Cricetulus griseus: one gene and its partner. The protein of the gene in region 1 interacts with the protein of each later gene in a pairwise test. Links are inferred from orthologs where the notes say so. Each region holds a gene or a part of one and is shown on either strand. Other genes may lie near its edges. The genes, in order: Erbb3 and Ppm1b.

Region 1 (3,820 bases):
TTTAGGAGCTCAGTTTGGGGCTCCCGGTGCCACAATAGGTTTGTTCTGAAAGAAGCTTTTATATGTAGAGGTTCTTGGACCTGAGTCTCTATTGTCTCTTAAAAAATTACTTTTAGGGCTGGAGAGATGGCTCAGAGGTTAAGAGCACTGACTGTTCTTCCAGAGGTCCTGAGTTCAATTCCCAGCAACCACATGGTGGCTCACAACCACCTTGAATGAGATCTGGTGCCCTCTGCCGGCATGCAGGCAGAAGACTGCATACATAATAAATAAAATCTTTTAAAAAATTACTTTTATAGGAGTTGCATGTAAAAACAATTACTTTATAAATATTTATTGTGTATATGGGCACAGTGTGTGCATGTGTGCTATGGTGTGTGTATGGAGATCAAATGACAACTTAAGGAAGTTGACTCTCTCCTTCCCTTATATGGTTTCCAGGGATCAAACTCAGGTCCTCAGGCTTGGCAGCAAGGACCTTTACTGCTGAGCCACCTTGTTGGCCCAAACCTCTATTGTCTACCCACTAATAAGGTGGTTTTCTTTTCTAGGTGTAAGGGACCAGAACTACAAGACTGTTTAGGCCAAACAGAGGCATTAATGAGGTAAGATGAACTTGGAGATTGTGGAACCCAGGAATATTTGGGAGAAAGACTGCTATTCATTCTGCTTTTTTTTTGGGGGGGGGGGCTGGGATCAAAGGTGTGCACCACCACTGCCTGACTCATTCTGCCTTTTGAAAAATGTTATGTGTATGGTTTTATCTGCATGTATATCTTTGCGTGACTTGTTTGCCTAGTCTCCTTGGATGCCAGAAGAGGGCATGGGATATCTTGGAACTGGAATTATGGATGCTTGTGAGTCATCGAGTAGGTGCTGGGACTCGAACTCAGGTCCTCCACAAGGGCAGCCAATGCTCTCCAGTGTCCCATTCTGCCCTTGTTTTAAAACTTATTATATGTATATATTTTAAGATTTATGTATTTATTTTGTATACAGTGTTCTGCCTGCATGTGTGCTGGCAGGCCAGAAGAGGGCACCACATCTCATTACAGATGGTTGTGAGCCACCATGTGGTTGCTGGGAATTGAACTCAGGACCTCTGAAAAGAACAACCAGTGCTCTTAACCTCTGAGCCATCTCTCCAGCCGCTATTTTTTATATTTTTTGTTGATTTTGCTTTTTGTGCTGGCTGGCACAAAACTTGTTATGTAGACCAGACAGGCCTATAACTCAGAGATCCACCTGCCTCTGCCTCCCTAATACTGGGATTAAAGGTGTGTATCACTACATCTGCCTTTTAAAATAATTATTTTTTATTTTTATATGTGTGAGTAATGCCTGAAGGTGTGTGTGTGTGTACCATGTGGGCCTGGTGTTGGGGAAGGCCAGCAGATAGCACTGGAGTCCCCTGGATCCGGAGTTATATATGGTTATGAACTATGATGTAGCTTCTGGGAACCAAACCTGAGTCCTCTGAAAGTGCTCCTAACAGCTGAACCATCTTTCCAGTCTCTTCCCTGCTACCCCTGCCTTTTTTTTTTTTTTTTAAGATAAAGTCTTATTTTATTTATTTATTTATTTATTGGTTTTTCAAGACAGGTTTTCTCTGTGTAGCTTTGGAGCCTATCCTGGCACTCGCTCTGGAGACAAGGCTGGCCTCGAACTCACAGAGATCCACCTGCTTCTGCCTCCCGAGTGCTGGGATTAAAGGTGTGCGCCACCAAAGCCGGGCTCAACTTTTTTATTTTTAATTACATGTATTTGTGTGACTCAGAAGAGGTTGTCAGATCCCCTGGAACTGGAATTAAAGGTGGTTGTGAACCACCATTTGGGTGTTGGGAACTGAACCCAGGTCCTCTGCAGGATCGGCCAGTGCTTCTAACCTCTGAGCCATCTCTCTAAACCCCCCTCACTACCACCCTTTAAATAATATTTGTTACTTATTCTTTTTGTTTTGTTTTGTTTTGTTTTTGTTTTTCCAGACAGGGTTTTGCTGTGGCTTTGGAGGCTGTCCTGGAACTAGCTCTTGTAGACCAGGCTGGTCTCGAACTCAAGAGATCCGCCTGCCTCTGCCTCCCGAGTGTTGACATTAAAGGCATGCGCCACCACTGCCCGGCCTTTTTGTTACCTATTCTTTGGAAATTTAGTACATTTATATAATGTATTTTGATCATACCAATCCACCATTATCTCCCACTAGGTCCCCCTAATGCCCTTAGCGTGTCCCCTTCCTGATTTCCTGTCCTCCTTTTTACTATCACTATTAATAATCCTGAGTCCATTTAGTGTAACCCATATGTGTGTGTGCGCGCGCGTGTGCACGAGCTGAACCGTCCACTAGGGTCATTCTTTAATTTATATATATATATATATATATTCCACCATCACTGGACTCAAGAATCATGGCTTCCGGCATTCCCTTCCTAAAATTAGCTTACACTAGCTTAGAAGTCTCATATTTAGGCTGACTCCTTCAGTGCTCATGGATATTTGTAGAGGTGAATGCTAACTCAGATGTATACCATATAAGTGACATTTGTGAAGCTGCTGTAAACTTAGGATGCTGGTCTTTTCTATATCCCATAGCAAAACCCATCTGGCAATGGCTGGGATGGTCGGACTGCCCGTGGCTCTTCTGATTCTGGGAGTCGTTTTTCTCTATTGGCGTGGACGTAGGATTCAGAATAAAAGAGCGATGAGGCGCTACTTGGAACGGGGTGAGGTAAGTATTAGCTTGACTTTGGGAGACACCCTTACAATCTGCTCCTGGGGTAAGTGGTAGGACATGGATGCTACTCCTCTTCTCTTTCCCTAGAATATAGTCCCTTTCTTTAAGAGGACAGTGTAGAGTGATGGATGCTTGCTCAACATATGCGAAGACCTGTCCAATCCCAGAAACACACATGTACATAGATGTACACACCAGTCCACACCAGAAGTGGGAACATGTATTGTCATCTTGCTCTTGCCATTTGCCATGACTTTGAAGGAACTGCTTTCCTTGTCTGTGCCTCAGTTTATGTAACTTAGATATAAACATTCATATTCATCGTTTATGTCTGATGGGTAGATATAAGGGCTGATGGGTTAGAGTGGTGTGGGGAGAGCTTGCTCGACAGATGTTTTGGAACATGGTGGTAACTCCAGAACTTAGAAGGCCGGGGCAGGGCAAGCCAGTCTGACCTATACAGCAAGCCCTCATCTTAGAGTGAGGGGAGAGAGGGATAAACAACAAGAACCAGCCTTGTGTGAGAGGTCTTCAAGTTGGAGTACAACTGTATCTCCTCCCCTCATGCTGCTCAGAGGGAAACCAAGCTTCTGGGTTCTTCTCTTGTAGACCAGGCTGGTTTCGAACTCAAGATCTGCCTGCCTCTGCCTCCCAAGTGCTGGGATTAAAGGCGTGCACCACCACTGCCCGGCAAACCTCTGGGTTCTTCTCATCAGCACAGTTTCCTCAGTCCTGTTGTTCCTTGAAGGACCTGTTGTTCCTCAATGAAACTACATTACTTTCCAGGACTAAAGACTGTCTTTCTTCCTGCCCTCAGCTCTGGGCTCTGCTGCCCTTGGCGTCCACCTGTGGGGGGCAGGTGGGAGTGGGCTTGTGGGAGTAGGCTTTTCTAAGTGTCTCCTTCCTATTTGCTCCTCAGAGCATCGAGCCTCTGGACCCCAGCGAGAAGGCAAACAAAGTCTTGGCTAGAATCTTCAAAGAGACAGAGCTGAGGAAGCTTAAAGTGCTGGGCTCTGGTGTCTTTGGAACTGTCCACAAGGTGAATGACTCACGGAAGCCTGGAGAAGCGGGGAGAAGACGTCAGAAAAA
Region 2 (3,820 bases), on another chromosome or scaffold:
TCTTTTTTTAACCAACAGTTTTTTAAGTCAGGGTTTTTTTTTTTTTTTTTTTTTTTTGGTGGGTGGGTGTGTGTGTGTGTGTGTGTGTGTGTGTGTGTGTGTGTGTGTGTGTGTGTGTGTGTGTAGCCCTGGCTGTCCTAGAACTAGCTCTTTAGACCAGGCTGGCCTCAAACTCACAGAGATGTGCCTGCCTCTGCCTCCCAAGTGCTGGGATTAAAGGCATGTGCCATCACCGCCTGGCCTAAATCTGTAATTTGTCCTAATAATTGTCACTTAAAGTATCAATGCCTAGTACACTTTTCAAAAGTTCATTTAAACTTTTTACAATCATTCAAGTATTGATTTGGTCAGAAAAATGAAAGTACTTCCCCAGAAGTAAAGCATACTAACTTGAGAAGTGTGTAAAACTAAGTTGTACAAGAATATGGTTGAACTATAAGGAACACTAATTGCAAACTAGAGGTCTTGCCCACTCTGGATAGACGATTCTGGGATGACGATTCTGGGATGAGAAAGAAAGCTTTCCTGGCCTGGAAAAACTTTATGGTGGAAGCCACATGTGTGCTCATCATACAGAAAGTGATAGTGGAGCTCTATAATGCTCTTAAAAGGCAATTTTTTTTGTTTTTGTGTTTTTGAAACAGGGTTTCTCTGTGGCTTTGGAGGCTGTCCTGGAACTAGCTCTTATAGATCAGACTGGTCTCAAACTCAACAGAGATCTGCCTGCCTCTGCCTCCCGAGTGCTAGGATTAAAGGCGTGTGCCACCACTGCCCTGCTAAAAAGCAAATTCTTACAGTAACACCCAGCTTTAAAATAAGGTCAGTTTGGACTTTATGAAAAAAATTATTTGTGGTGGGGCGGTACTTATGAGGCAAAGGCAGGTTGTAAGTCACTGCTTCAGGGAACAGTAAGTAGCTGGTTTGGGGGCGCTTGCTTGGGAGCTGGTTGGTTTGTTTTGAGAGGACTCTTGCTCTCTCTGCCTCAGCCTCATAAGTGCCTGGGATTTCAGGAGTATCTAAGGTGCCCAGCTGAATTAAAAAAAAAAAAAAAAGTCTTACCGAATTGTATTTCTCAGTTTTCTCTAGGAAATTCTGGTTGGCTGCTGAACATTGTTTAGTTTTTGTAGACTTGTAGCCCAAGCTGGCCTTGAACTCGGTTGGTTTTTTCCAGATTTGTTTTTTCTGTGTAACAGCTGTGGCTGTTGTGGAATTCCTTTGTGGCCTTGAACTCTTAATCCTCTTGCTTTTATTTCCCAGTGCAGGGATTTCGGGCTGTGTATGGTAGTTCACACTTTTAATTCCAGCACTCGGTAGGCAGGGGCAAGTGGATTTTTCTCTGTGAATTCTATGCCAGCCTGGTCTACATAGCGAGTTCCAGAGTGACAGAGACAGTCAGACAAACAACAAAAACCCACTGATGTCTTGATCTACCTGCAGAGATTCTGATTTAATTGGTTAGATTCTGTCATGTGCTGGGTTTAAAATCAGTGTATTAGCCAGTCATCGGTGATGCACTCCTTTTATCCCAGCACTCAGGAGGCAGAGGCAAGCAGGTCTCTATGAGTTCTAGGCCAGCCTGGGCCACAGAGCAAGTTCCAGGACAGCCAGAGCTGTTATACAGAGAAACCCTGTCTCAAACAAGCAAAAATATGAGGGGGGAAATAGCAATGTCTTAGGAGCTGGAGAGATGGCTCAGTGTTTAAGAACATTTGCTGTAGCTCTGTAACTCCAGTTCTATAGGCTCTGACGCCCTCACCCAGACATACACCCAGATGAAACACCAATCAGTGCACATAAAATAAAAATAAAGAAACCATTAAGAAGAGTGTCAGGGAACTAATGTTGTTACCCCACAAGTCAGCTAATATGGAAAATATATAGGAGATGAGTTGGTCCAGAATAAATGGAGCACTGTAGATAAGCTATGTCAAATTTAAACATTGAACACCATTTATTTTCTCTTTCAGATTCATTACTAAACATGGGTGCATTTTTGGATAAACCCAAAACGGAAAAACACAATGCTCATGGTGCTGGGAATGGTTTGCGATACGGCCTGAGCAGCATGCAAGGATGGAGAGTGGAAATGGAAGATGCGCACACAGCTGTTGTGGGTATTCCTCACGGCTTGGAAGACTGGTCATTTTTTGCAGTTTATGATGGTCATGCTGGATCCCGAGTAGCAAATTACTGCTCAGCGCATTTATTGGAACACATCACTACTAATGAAGACTTCAGGGCAGCTGGCACACCAGGCTCTGCTCTTGAGCCCTCAGTGGAAAATGTTAAGACTGGTATCAGGACTGGCTTTTTGGAAATTGATGAATATATGCGTAACTTTTCAGACCTCAGAAATGGGATGGACAGGAGCGGTTCGACGGCAGTGGGCGTTCTGATTTCACCTACACATATCTACTTTATCAACTGTGGTGACTCACGAGCTGTCCTGTGTAGGAATGGAGAAGTCTGCTTTTCTACCCGGGATCACAAACCTTGTAATCCGATGGAAAAGGAGCGAATCCAAAATGCAGGAGGCAGTGTGATGATACAGCGAGTGAATGGTTCATTAGCGGTATCTCGTGCTCTGGGGGACTATGACTACAAGTGTGTGGATGGCAAGGGCCCAACAGAACAGCTTGTCTCTCCAGAGCCTGAGGTGTATGAGATTTTAAGAGCAGAAGAGGATGAATTTGTCGTTTTGGCTTGTGATGGGATCTGGGATGTGATGAGTAATGAGGATCTCTGTGAATTTGTTAAGTCTAGGCTTAAGGTCGCTGAGGACCTGGAGAATGTGTGCAATTGGGTAGTGGACACTTGTTTACATAAGGTATGTAAACTTTTTTGTTTCAACTAACACTATTGATTTAAAAGAAATGGTAAGTAAACTGAAGTAAACTTAAAATTTTAGACCTCTTACTATTTTCTGTAGAGAATTGTGTATTTTCATAAACTTCTTTCAAGAAAATTAAACCTTTTTGTCAACTTTATCTGCCCCACCCTTCTAATTTGAAAAGTGACAACAATTATCTCAAATTTATTAAGCTTGTTTTATGGCTTCTTGATAATTCTGAATGTGTAGAATGATGACCTCTAATCTACATCCTTGATGTTATCAGTAGCCATCTTACTCATGACTTGAAACAGCTTAAAACATGTATGTAGTAGGATTCTGTTACTTACATTAAAATATCAAGAGTTACAGAAAATACAGATTCACCAAAAGCCAAGCTAGTAAAATTGTATTCTTGTCTTCATAGCACCTAAGACAAAAGCTGAAACAAATGAGTTGTCTCCTTTTTGTCAGTAAGATATCAGCTAAGTTTACACTAACTGTAAACAGTATAAGGTTAGTACACTACCCACATAGAAGGTAATTGAAATTCCTTTCAGATAGTTATTATCTCTGATTAAAAAGTCTAAAGCCTTACGGAAAATGTGATCCTAGGAAAATTTCTTGTGCAATTCTTAAAATGTCTTAATTGTAATTCTATGCAAAAATAGCAAAAAAAGGAAATCTAGATTTACAGATATTTGGCTGTTCCATTAAATGCCTTTATATTATTCAGTTCTTGGGCCCAGAGTACACAGATGCCTGTGGAGACAGGTTTATTTCTGTGAGTTTGAGGCCAACCAGGTCTATATAATCCCCCCCCCCAAAAAAAAAAAGAGAAAAAGGAAAAAAAATTCAGTTCATTCATGTGGATGTTTGAACAACATCTAGATAGAAATAATTAAGTTTGAGTTAACTGTTGTCTAGATGAGTAAGTGTTCTGTGCCTGAAGATGTTGAGGCAAAAGTGGCCTGTGAAAGAGTGTGATGT

What was found.
Region 2: the proteins of Erbb3 (region 1) and Ppm1b interact in a two-hybrid assay, tested with the Homo sapiens proteins (2 studies listed by BioGRID and IntAct, with this or other methods). The link is inferred for Cricetulus griseus from reciprocal best matches to the Homo sapiens genes ERBB3 and PPM1B.

What each region holds. Positions count from the first base shown.
Region 1 is NW_023276806.1:129,330,480-129,334,299, forward strand, and holds part of Erbb3 (receptor tyrosine-protein kinase erbB-3), read left to right. Parts: intron 1-551; coding exon 552-605; intron 606-2,589; coding exon 2,590-2,725; intron 2,726-3,650; coding exon 3,651-3,770; intron 3,771-3,820. UniProt on the Homo sapiens protein: Tyrosine-protein kinase that plays an essential role as cell surface receptor for neuregulins.
Region 2 is NC_048598.1:86,592,067-86,595,886, forward strand, and holds part of Ppm1b (protein phosphatase 1B), read left to right. Parts: intron 1-1,967; 5' UTR 1,968-1,981; coding exon 1,982-2,827; intron 2,828-3,820.